Caenorhabditis elegans: one gene and its partner. The protein of the gene in region 2 purifies or fractionates together with the protein of the main gene of each other region. This does not show direct contact. Each region holds a gene or a part of one and is shown on either strand. Other genes may lie near its edges.

Region 1 (6,242 bases), about 16 Mb from region 2:
CGACAACTGTGACTTCACCGGCATTAATGATTAAGCAACAGTTATTGAAGTCGAAATAAAACTTTTCATGGCCTCCACTTTGCCACTCCAGCTCCGAGAATCTTTGCGATTCTGTGTCAGCGATGATGATGCTTGAAGAGGTGTATCCAATAACATATCTATCCTTTCCCATAATTTTCAGTTCATCAATTGCTAGTCCTTTGTTGGAGATCACGTTGGTTCTCGTGTCGTTTGTGACGTCACGCAGAATAACGTGTGATGGTGCGACATATGTGGTCTCGAAGCGACTTTTTAGCATACCGCGTCGCAGGCAACAATCGACGGAAAATACTCCGCCACACACGGTACCCTGAAAAACACATATTCAGAATGGGGCTCAGAATTCGAGGGTGTTACCGCATAAATAGTACTACCATCCATTTTCCAACCAAGTGCACCAATTGTATATGCATTTTGAATTTCCAACGGAGCACCCTCATCCCAGGCACCTCTTCTGGCAGACCAGGAGAATAGGCGTAGTCTAAAAAAAGGTTAGAGCTATGTTTCTACCAATACACGTGGTGTCAGGCTGTCTCATTACAATTTGGTCTACAAAAAATGCGGGAACATTTTTCCAGAAAAATGGTAACGCCAGCACACTCTTCACCACGCGAAATCAAATGAGATTTCTGCGTCTTAACTCCCACATTCTTTGAAGGTCAAACCGAAAAAAGAAATTTGACTCCACGTGCAAATAGTCTTAATACCTGTCATAACTTGCTACCACAACGTTCTGAGCAGTAGGATCACAGGAAATCGAAGAGAACTCTTTTTCGGATTGATCATTGTAGTCAAATTGCTGCTGAACAACTCCGTTCTCGGTATAGGACAGCACTCTTCGATCGGAAGTCGCTACAACCAGCCCGTGGTTTGTGAATACCAAATTGTACGGAGGAACTTGCAGCGTGCAGATTTTGGACTGAAATTAGGAGCATTATAAGCCCAAACTGTATATAACAAACCTGAGTTCTGCTACTGAAATTGTACAAAATAATAGATCCATCCTGGTGCGCCGATACGAAAGATGTCCGTTTCGGGCTGAAAGTACAGTATTTTTTGATTACTTTTTAGGATAAATACTTACTGAGTTTGAATCGAAACTACTGTCTCGTCGGTTTTGTATAGTGAGCTGCATTTGTTTGTCTTGATGAGTCCGATACGAACCTGGAAGATGGGAAGTAAGAATTTTACGAGACATGTAATTTAGGAACGTTCATAATACTGAAAAAAAACCATATAAGTTTTTTGAAAATTTTCGGAAGTTGCTATAAACTAACAAGCAAGTTTAAAAATTTTTAAACAAAAAAGGGTATGCAGGTCTGAAACTCTAAAAAACTGAACTTACGTTTATGCAGTTTTGAAATCAAAAAATGTATGTAGAAATATTAAAAAGTATTGAAAGGACTGTAATAAATTAATATTTTTCGTAAAAAAGTTTGAAAAACAGTTTTTGCAAAATTTCGGGCTCTTCTTTTTCGCCTTCAAAAAAAAACAACAACGGCTTTTCAAGTCAATATTTCTATTTTAAATGACAATTTCATCTTGATTTTCAGTATTTAAAAGTAAAGAGCATCATACCGAATTCAAAAATTTTAAATATTTGTCTGCACATTTTAAAATTTCATAGGTATTTGCAAAAACGTTAATCGCTTAATAACCCGAAATCCTGTGAGTTTTTATTATGCAAATTTTTTTTCACTTTTTTGCTCAATAATATGAAATTCGCTTTCTGTTTGTTTTTCCACCAATTATTTATATAATTATCTCACTTTTCCATCCAATTGACCAACCAAAATTTTGTCATCAAATGGCCAACTCAAACAAGTGACAGCGGATGGTTGCACAAATTTGTTGACAATCACTTTCTTCTCATTCCTGCATAAGTAGTATGAATCAGAAATGATTTTAAGTAACTTTACAACACACTTACCAAGAGGTACCGACTTTATAAATGAAGAGAACATTGTCGCTTTGTCCGATGGCGATGCGTGACGAATCAGGTGAAAAGGTCATGCACAATACGGTGAACGATTTTTTTCCGTACTAAAAAAAAGATAAGACGATAAAAGCTTTACACCAGATACAATGTGACGAACCTTTGCATCAATCGGTTTGCAAGTGAATCTATCCTTCTGCACTCCATTTTCATCTAACAAAGCGACTGATCGATCGGAACAGGCAATCGCTGCACGAGAACCATTTGGAGAGCACGAAATGTTGCTGATCTTTGCTTCTCCATCCTGAAAATTAAAAAAAAGATGTATTTGCAACAGTTTTAGCTATAAACTAAAAAGAAGTTGCGCAAAAGTTGTAAAACAGAATGCGCGCGGAAAATTCGGAAGGGGCGGTTGCTAGGCCACGACCGCTAAGTCTCTTCCACATGGTATTGTGGTTTAGGTGATTACAATGAAAAATGTTTTAAAATGTTTAAAATTGGATAAAAACAAGAAGTTTTTTTTTTGCAAAATTGAACTATTATGCAGCGGGTAAAATGCGTCTAAACTAAAATAATAATACTTTGAAATTTTCATTGATACTCTTTCGCAATTAGATTCTAAAAGTTTTTTAATACTTTAAAACTCCTATTTTACTCACCTGAGCTGGGAGAATAGTTGAAAGATACTTGAGTTTCATTTAATCCTCATGAACTGAATAACTGCAAGAAAGGGGGCAACGGAACAAGGGGAGCCGTCTGGTGTGTGCTCCGTTGCCATGGTAGCTATGAAATGCACAAGAGCAAGGCTCACACACCACCGCCCTTAAGCTCACACGTTCTTTCATGCAATTTGTGGTATTTCCTAGATTGTTCAAGAAAATTTGGTGAGTGGGATTTTTTTAACAACAGACATGAAAGTATAATTTGAGTGCTGGTAAATTTAAGATTGAATTCAAAAAAAAATATCTGAGATCCATTTTTGAATATGAAGAAAAAATATATAATATAGTTTAAAGGTGGAGTAGCGCCAGTTAGGATTTTATCTAAACACACTTGAAATAATTTAAAACAACTTAATACACTCCAAAAAGTTTCAGATTTTTCATAATTTCCGGTCAAAGTTTTGGCACAGTGCCAAAATTTTGACATATGAGCTTTTGAGGAAATCCAAAGCAATGTCGCATGTTCCAACCCCTACAGTGTTTTAATACAAATATTTAAAGCAAAATGACATTATAAGAAATGTAGGAAAAAAACCTTTTTTTGGTCGACTTCCAAAATGATGAGTGACAAAACTGAGTAATTGCCACTTTTTGACAGTAAATAAAAAATTTTCAAAAAACGTTTGAAAAGTTTTATTATGATATTCGGTTATTTTGAGACCATTGGAGTGGTTCTTAACATTTTCCCGACTGATGCTACTCCATCTTTAAAAGTTTGGCCTTCGGAATTTTGCAGACCACAAACAATTACAGAAACCGTAATTAATTTATAAATTGTAGTGGTAAATTTTTGAACGTGGATAAGTTTTCTAAAGGAAACATTAAACTTTTGATTGTGCTTTCCTTATTGAAAAAGCTGCTGAAATTGAAAGCTGCCGTTCGCATTCCGTACATTTATGTTAGTTGCAAAATGTTCACCGGAATACTAGAAAGTCAAATTAATGTCAAAAAAGTTTTGTTAGTTCTAAAAAAATAGTCCGGCGTTAAAGGCTCATGGGATTAACTTTCGGTAATTGCCAAACGCACTTTTGGTTCACAAAGATATTAGAAAAAAAAAATCTACTCTGCACTAACATTAAATTCATTTCGATTTTAGTTTTAAAACGATTTTGTTTTGAAGTTTACCCACAATTTACACATTTGTTTCAAAATTTGAATTCAAAAAATAAAAACACATTCCATTTTTTAAAGAATTTACATTTATTACTTTATTTCAAAAAGAAAAAAAGAATAGAGAGATGACTCCAAGATAAACAAAGACTGGAAGAGCAAGAGACAAGATGTTGGTATGGATACAATTAGAGGAAAGGTGGGGGTGGTGAGATGTTGCGGAAAACTGTTGGAGGGGACGAAACATGGCAATGTTAATATGAGCACACACTTAATTTGAGTGAATCGCTTCTACAATATAGTACAAACAAGTAAACAGGAGATATCGGTGTAGAGTACACATACAAGTCATTTATTCTATCAATTCAGATTGTTGGGAAGAAGGACTATTGGAGAGTTCCGCTTTAACTGAAAGGCTGGCAGGATAGTGACAAGAAAAACTGGGTGTGAGAGAGGTAAAGACTTTTTTGTTTAAGAATTAGGAACTACACAGAGAGATCACTGCGAGTTCTTGAGAAATAGAAATAGGCTTTTTGTAATTTTTGATAATTTAAACTTAAGCATAACAATATAATGACACCAAGAATAATGTTTTTTGGAAACAAGAAATTGGAAATGGGAAGGATTGTAATACTGGTCACAACTGGGCACGGAAGGTAAAGTTGAGAAGAGAAAGTAACGATGTCAGACATCAAGAAAAATAGAGGCAAATGTTTTTTTTTCAAGAAAGAGCACATTTTACCACTGCTCATGTGGCACAGTCTTCCCGTGAGCATGAGCTTGTTCGGCGTAGTGCTGCTGCACAACACTCACTCCGACCGTCTGATCGTGAACTTGCTCTTGCATTGGATACTGCTGGTTGACCATGGTATAGTCGAAGGGATAATCTTGTCTTGAAGATGGCAGCAGTACACAGCTGTCAATTGTGAACTGATTGTTGTGTGGGTTGCTCTTTTCAATGTTGGCGAAGCTTCCATTGTGGTAGAGGGGCTGGTTTCCGAGCATCATGTCGGGTTGGGAGACGATGTAGTGAGAGTCATGCTGGTTTACATTTACATAATCCATTCCAGATGACACTGAAGGCAAGGAGGAGGCGAGTTGGTGCACTGGCGGCTGAAAAAAAATGTTTTCGAAACTTGTGTGATTATTTGGTTTGGGGAGACATTATGGAACTTCCAAAATAAAACCATAAAAACAAAAACGTACCAATTGTTGCGTGCCAAGATTCCGGAAGTTAAGCATGTTAATAGTTTGCATTGGAAGTTGAATGCTCAATCCACCCGATGATGAGCCAGAGTCTGATTTAGAATCACTGAGATTTGAGAGCATCGTGTCGTCCAGCGACAGCATGCCTCCGTTGTGGCGACCATCGTCGCTATAGCTGAAAATTATGATTTTAGAGATTTTTCAGTATTAAACTGACTTTCAATAATTTTTAACTCTAACCAGATATTTCAATAGATATTATGTAATAACTCAAATGTTGAATTGGAAAAGTAATAGAGATATTTGTAAAAATTAGTTAATGTATAATATTTATCATAAATGTCTAAAAGTACTAACCCATAAAGTTGCATAAGGAAATTTTGATTCTGACTCTGCATCAATGAATCAAGAGAGGTAGTGTCCAAATCGATTTGATGATCACTTGGAGGTACTAAAGCACTGGCATGCAACGGCTGAACAGCTCCCAGATGCACTTGACTTAATGTAGTTGCCAAGGAGCTTGGCGTTTGCTTGGCTTTTGCCGCTTTCGATCGTTTTTTGTTTCCAGATGTCGTCGTGATCAGTGGATGAGAAATTACAGATGAAGCTGACGATGATGCTGGAAGTCCTCCATTTTCTTCTTGCTCCATTTGCAGTTTTCTTTTCGCTGCTGTGGCATATGTCAGTTGCCGGAGATCGTTGTCCAGATGAGCGGAGGTTTCATTTTTTCGTTGATGCATATCCTTATGACACTGAAGAGAAAACAAATTTCATTAAATGATTAATTTAAAATTTGAATTGAACTAAAAGAGTATTCCTCCCCCAACCCAACAACTACTTTGAACAAGGACACAACGACTTATAACTTACATGTTAACAAATGTTAAGCAAACAGTGAGTTTTCTGTGATGAGTAAGAATAAAGAAAACAGGACAATTATATAAATGGTCTCACCTTCAAACTATTTTTCCATTTGAACGTCATTTGGCACACTGTACATACAAACGGCTTGGCATCCGAGTGAATTCTCTTGTGATTCCAGAGTGTCGACCTCCGATTGAACCTTGCATTACATGTCTGAAACTAAGATATATATAAGTTTTGATAACGCTGTTATTTTCAGAAAAAAGAAACTTACGTCACATTCAAATGGCTTCTGGCCGGTGTGAGAATTTTGATGCTCCTCGAGCTCCATTTTTGAACCAAACTTTGAAGAACACAGGTTGCAT
Region 2 (6,780 bases):
TGTAATTTTATCAAAATGTTCATTTTTCCTTTTTGCATTGCCCATGCGGGTTCTTTTTTCTTTTCAAAACCATCGAATGACTGCCCATCGGGCACTAATTCAACTTTTTTATCCCATCCGTCTTGAGTTTTGTGTTATTCCAACAAACTGGTCTGTTAAAAACGTTTCTTTTTCTTTGTTTGGGTTACAAATAAATTATAAACTTGATATAAACTTGATTGTAAATTTGAAAAAGCCATTGTCAATCAAAAAAAGTGTTGAACGCTCGGGAATTTAAAACTAATCCTGAAAAGGACTTTTTAGACAATTAATAATTAATTAGCTAAGGAGTGGCATTGGAAATTTCCTCCACTTTGTCTCCAATAAGAAATAGTGTTGGACCTAAACAAAACATTTTGTTAGTTACAACATTTTAGTTACATTTTAGTTTTAGTTTTAGTTACAACAACATATTGGTGCAACTTCAATTTTCATTCGAATTTGTAACATTGTATCAAAGCTCTAAGTAATATAAAATAATTTATTTGTTTATCTTTTCATTTAATTCAATAAAATGAAAATCTCCTTCTGAATAGGGAAAACTGAAAGATCAAACATTGGAAATGAATAGTTGAATGCGTTTTTCATTGTTGAGAACTCGTCCTCTAGCCTTGCTCAATTCTTCTTTCGTGTCATTGATTTCTTTTTGTAAGTTTGCGATGATGTTGTAGAGTCTACTGCTGTCTCCGAATCCTGCCGCTTTTTTGTTCTGATCCTCTTGCTCATTCCGTCGCTGCTCACTTCTCCATCGCTCCAGTTCTTTAATCATTGATTCGATGTCGTCCTGAAAAATATATTTTTTATAACGAATGTAATGTCAAAAAATTGATTTTATGTGTAAAATAGTACTTACGTGCACTGAAATTAAATATAAAAAAAACCCCAATTAAAAAATGTTGATTAAAAAAAATTCACGATATGCATAAGCTGTCAAAGTAAAGTAGTGCAAAGGTAGTGAGAAAATACGGTATGTATCAATACATCATCCAAAACAACTTTCATTTGAAAGCCCTAGCATCTTCCGTTGTCTGTATAAATTCGTAGGAGCCCGGAAAATTTCGGGCATTTCCAAGTTTTTCAAACTGTCTGAAATTCATTAAACTCACATTTGCAAAATCAAAAAGCCTTGCTAGCGGATAAGCAGATCTTGTTAAATCCTGAAGCTTCTCCTGCAGTTGCTTCATCTTTTCTCTTTCAACTGTCATAATTTTATCAGCATCGGACTCTTCAACCTGATCCTGTCCTCCTCCATCTTCAATTTCAGCCTTCGTCTCCATGATTTTTTGCACCAAAGCTCCTCTATCTTCTTCATCAACTAAATCTTCAATTCTAGCGGTTCTATCACCATCTTCCTCGTCATTTTCCATTATAAAATTGCTATCGTCTTCGGTTTCCACTTTTGGAGCATCGCTGATGATTTCCGATTTGAGTTCGACTACCTAAAGTGGTATCAAAATTGAATTAATAAACTGATTAACAATGTTATTACCACTTGTGGCGTTGAGTCAACAGTCGCAATTTGTTTCTTTTTCAGTTTTGGAGGCGCTGGCCTTGAAGCCGCGGTTCCGGGTCTTCCCATTGATGTCATAGGTCTACCACCTCCAGCACCAGTCATTGGTCTGGAATTTTCTATGTCAAAAGCTGATTAAACTGTGTGTATCATCATCTCAATCTCAGTGTAAATTTCACTTTGACAACTTATTCTAGAATTTGAAAAAATGTTGGTCAAAGAAGGAGTAAACCAACAATGTTGAAGCCAAAAATTTGCCGGATAATTCAATTTCAGAAAATTATTTAAGTGTGCACTACATTTTTTAAAATGAACTGAAGATAAACCCAATCCGTAAGAGGTTACCTTATCAACGGGGGTCTATCTTCGGGCTTGATCATTCTCGGGCTCTCACCCATCCCACTATCATCAGTTTTCAAGGGTGACGTCACTGGCTGTTGGATCAGTAGTGATTGAGCTGACAAATCAGTTTCCATATTTGATATAACAGTTGGTTCAGAAATCTCATGATCGTCATAACCCTCATCTCCATTCTCATTGTTCGGAGTATCCGGTGCATCTCCATTCACAGCAATCATTGAGTCTTGTCGTTTAAAATGCCGTTCACTCGGGTCTTTTTTGCTCTTTTTGGGTTTTTCGTCTGTTGTGCTCTTTTCCTTCTTTTTCTCCTTGCTGGACTTTTCGCTTGACTTTTCGCTAGACCTGTCACTAGACTTATGCCGTTCTTTTGAACTCGAAGACTTTTTCTTCTTCTCTTTCTCTTCTGCAGATTTTTTCTTCTCCGATTTTTCCTTCTCTTCATGCGTTTCCTTAAAATGATAAAACTGAGTTTATGGGGAAACAAATATTTAAAAGTGCACTCTACCTTCTTACTGCTACGTTTTTTAGTAGTTGACTTCTCTTCTTCATCTCCCTTTTTGTCCTCTTTCTTTACTTTTTTCTTCTTTTTCTCCTCTCCGGTACCATTCCTTGAATTGAAACTCGTAGCATTTGTTCCCAACATTTGCAGCATCTGAATAAATGTAAAAGGTAAAAAAAGCACTAAGAACTGAGACGAGCGAAAGCAATGGCTAACTTGGTGTAGCACTGACCAATCTGGTAATGCACTGACCAAGTTGAAAACGGCTTAAATACTTTATCTTACTATTAAGCATATTTTTATCACAAAAAATCAGAAAATTTAAATAGAAAAAATGATTAGGGCACTAATTTAGTTTGATATAATTTACGGAAGAAATCGAATTTTTTTTTTAAGTTAAAAAAAAATTTCTGATTGACCAGATTTTTTAAAATTTGATTGAAGCGACTTCACATCGAATTGTAAATTCTGTTTAAAATTCTGCGCCTTCTTTTTTCATTACAGATATTTCTTGTTAATAGAATGTAAACTCACTTTGTTGGTTTCTTCCGCGTCCTTCCCCGATATTATTTTGGCGGCTTTGACGTTTTTGAGACTTCCGTCATCTAGAATCTTGATCAGCTTGTCAAGAAAGGCAGTTTTGGTGTTTTTGTCGTTGCCAGCGGACTTTATTTCATCGTCGGTGAAGTCAGTCTGTTAAAATGAAAATTTAGCGAAAATTTATGCGCTGACCAAGTTGGCACAGCACTGAGTAACTTGGCACAGCACTGACCAAAAACTTCGCATCACTGACAAACGAAAACTTTAAAACTAAAGTTGGGCACTGGTTTTTTCTCTTTTTTTCTCATACCACATTACATTTCTTAAAATCTACATTTTCGCGCATAATTTTTTATTATGAATAAAATTTTCAAATACCCACCTTCAAATACCCCGTAGACTTTATCACATTGCTAACTATATCAACAATAAATTTGAATGGTGGTCGTGAAAGCAGTTGATCAGTTAGTTGTGGTTTTTGAATTACTTTCTCAAGAATTTCCCGAGTTTCCTCAACGCTCATCGCACTTTTACTGCAAAAATCTCATTACAAGTTGCGAAAAACATGAAATACATGAAAAACAATATTAAGGTGAAAAATGCTGACAAAAAAGAGGAATGAAACAGCGGTAATACACGCAAGAGAGAGAGAGCACGCTAATATCAGGTGGCGCTGTGTGGCGAGTTGTTGAGGCAGGGGGCACGTTGTCATGGAGACCACCTTACGCGCAAAGAGTGCGTGAGACGATGAGAGCAGCAGAATAATGTGTCTTAGTTGAGGTATTTTGTGACTGATTACAATTCTTTAATTTTCGCACAATATATTGTATTTTTTTCTGATTATATAATACGTCAGAAAAATGGGTGAAAACAAAGAAGAAAGTAGACTGGAATGTTATAAATGGTGGTCAAATTGCGACCAGTACAAGAAATCGTGGAAAATTTTGTTTTTAGCAGATTTACATATATTATGAAAATCACATCGAAACTTTTAGGAAAACAATCTTCATCTAACAATATAATTTTTTCATTGACTCGTTCTTAGCTCTATAAAAACAAAGTAGAAGCTTCTCATGTAGATCAAAAATTATGATTTAATGTTCAGAGGTTTCCCGCGATTGTGGAAATCAAATAGAAATAATCCTTTATTTAAATATACACTGTTTTTATTTGATAAAAACATAAACAAATTGTTTATAAGCCGAATGCTAACATTTATTGTAGAGATATGTTTAAATTTATAATTTCCTGTTTAATATTGAGGTACTTATAACTTTCGTTTAAAAAAAAACATAAGTTCCAAAATCTAGAATAGTAGGCAAAAACGTGAAATAGGCTATATGAACGAAACGTAAAAAATGTCATTTGTTTAAGGCAGCTGAAATTGAATATGACGTCATTTGTAGTAGGCGTTAGAAAAATATATAGTTACAAGTATACTAGACTACTTATTTAAAAAAAAACAAACTAATTTGGTCAATAATTCTAATTTTTATTTATCTTTTTATATGGACAAACATAATAATACAATCCATTTTTTTTTCTACTTTCTTGTGGTTATGGGTATTTAGATTGTCCCATCTTAGGTTGACCTCTGGAAATTAGGGCGCCACATGGCTTTAATGCTTTGACGCCACGATGATTTTTTAAATGAAAATTGCACTATGTAAAAATTTGTGACGTCATATTTTATGAATTTTTGAATCCACGTATTGCCACGATTTCAGAGACCAACAAAAAAAGGGAACACGCTAATTACTCGTGTGTGCTACGTTGTGGTCTACTTTTCAGGATTATTGGATTTTATTGAATAGTACATTTCAGCACGTTTCAAAAATTGAAGAAAAAAACCGAGAAAAGTCCGTTTTCAGTAATGAAAATTCAATTAAAAAATGAAATTTGAATCGCCATGAATTTTTAGAAAAATTTCCAGAAGGTCCATTATTTTTTAGAAAGAGGTTCATTTTTGAAAAATATTTGAAAACTTTCTGTATATAGAAAACTATCAACAAAATATAAAGAAATCAATCACAATAAGCATATATATGTACAAAAAACAATAAGATTGAATTTCCGCAAAACATCATTCGCGCGCGAAACTAACTCAAATTCGGGTATGTACATTCAGCCATAATTGTCAATGTGAACGGGGGTTTCCCGTTTTTCTTATATTATATTTCCCAGCTTCAGCACCTGAAATAAATTGTTTGATATTTTCTTCGTTGAAGAGACTTCATATTTGAAATTACATATTGAATATCCAAAATCTTCGGAAACCCCCAGAAGAGAAAAAAAAGGTGCGAGACAACACTTTTTTTTTGCAAGTATATTCGTTAAAAAATTATTATTCTCATGTATAAATTCAGTAGTTTCCTAATGAGCAGCCACGCTGAATTGGCATTCAAAAGCTGAAAACTTTTGAAAAATTTATAACGTACAACTATATACCGTATTTCCTCTATTAGTCCTGCAGCTTCTATTAGTCTTGCACCCCCTACGAGCAATGCGAAAATTAATTTTGCAAGCAAGACTAATAGAGAAATTACGGTAGTTATTATATTTGGTACTTGTGTATCACTTGTTCCCCTAAATGTTTACAATGAATAACATTCCAACATTCTATAATGGTCAATTGACACTTCAAATAATTTCAATTTGACTGATGGAGCATTTGAAAAAAAAAGAATAAATAAACTGTGAATAAATAGCTTATAATTTTGTCTAAGTACACTTATAATGTTCCAAAATGACCAAGTATCATAATAAAAATACCAAAAAAATTTAGATTTGTCATAATTTCCGGTCAAAATTTTTCACAAATTACCAAAATTATAAAAAGTATGAGCTTTTGAGGAAATCCAAAGAAATTTCAAATGCTCCGACCCCTACAATGTTTTAATACAAATAATAAAAACAAAATTAAAGTATAAAACAAGTAAAAAATAAATTTGTTTTTGTCACTTTTTGTCACTTTTTGACAATAAATAAAAAAATTTCAAAAATTTTTTGGAGAGTTTCAAATGATATTTGGTCATTTTGGCACCATTGGAGTAGTTTTTAACAGTTTCCCCACTGGCGCTGCTCTACCTTTAAAATAAAAAAAACTTCAATTGCATATTTGTGAGTAGTTCTTTCATTTTTTTTTTTAATTTTGATGTCGATCATGTCAGTATATAAACGTTTGCTTTATAGGTACTTGAGTATGTAAAACACATTATTTAAAATTTTGAAACCTGAATTTTTTTTTCAAATACAAAGCTTCCACAAAAACTGCCGCTTCAATTCTCCATGTGAAAAACGATACAAAAAGTGTTCCCACATTTATAAGTTGGACAAATTGGGAATTTGGTATCCCATAATAACAAACTTATATGTTTTGTCGTGTATATCTCTCTGTTTTTCTCTCCCTCTATTGATTTGGAACTCAGTCTTCACTTCTTTGCTTCGTCCTCCCTCTCTTGCCATCCATTCGTTTCACTCCTCTCAAAAATAGCAGCGAGGGGGCGAAACAGAAAAGGGAAAAGAGAATGAGAAGGAATACACATGCACACACATACACACGTCTCTTCTCTCATCGGCCTCCTATGCCCCTTTTTGGTCTACACACTTCTCCATCACATGGGGGGGGGGGGGGGGGGGGCTCTTGCACCTCCACTGCTTCATTCTGTTCTTCCTCTTTTTTCCTCCCTTTTTCCTCTCTTTCTTCCCACGACATCCAATATTTTAGCTTTTTTATTATTGTGATTTGTTGCTTAATCTTATAGTTTCATTTTTATATAAACTCAAATTCCAGTCAAATGAAGTCCAAATTTAAAGTCAGAAAATATGTTCT

What was found. The genes of interacting proteins can lie anywhere in the genome.
Region 1: the proteins of dyf-11 (region 2) and osm-1 fractionate together in Caenorhabditis elegans (co-fractionation; one large-scale study listed by BioGRID). This does not show direct contact.

What each region holds. Positions count from the first base shown.
Region 1 is NC_003284.9:16,537,850-16,544,091, reverse strand, and holds the start of osm-1 (Intraflagellar transport protein osm-1), read right to left. Parts: upstream 3,419-6,242; 5' UTR 2,674-3,418; coding exon 2,635-2,673; intron 2,280-2,634; coding exon 2,136-2,279; intron 2,083-2,135; coding exon 1,970-2,082; intron 1,915-1,969; coding exon 1,809-1,914; intron 1,204-1,808; coding exon 1,124-1,203; intron 1,078-1,123; coding exon 1,002-1,077; intron 959-1,001; coding exon 747-958; intron 521-746; coding exon 397-520; intron 350-396; coding exon 1-349. Other genes in the region: pat-9 (C2H2-type domain-containing protein), read right to left, coding at 4,546-4,920, 5,014-5,188, 5,371-5,765, 5,968-6,096, 6,152-6,242. UniProt on the Caenorhabditis elegans protein: Component of the intraflagellar transport (IFT) complex B required for transport of proteins in the motile cilium. May be required for ciliary entrance and transport of specific ciliary cargo proteins such as che-3 which are related to motility.
Region 2 is NC_003284.9:760,460-767,239, reverse strand, and holds dyf-11 (TRAF3-interacting protein 1), read right to left. Parts: upstream 3,489-6,780; 5' UTR 3,472-3,488; coding exon 3,331-3,471; intron 3,102-3,330; coding exon 2,943-3,101; intron 2,562-2,942; coding exon 2,415-2,561; intron 2,359-2,414; coding exon 1,895-2,358; intron 1,659-1,894; coding exon 1,529-1,658; intron 1,479-1,528; coding exon 1,146-1,478; intron 824-1,145; coding exon 590-823; 3' UTR 501-589; downstream 1-500.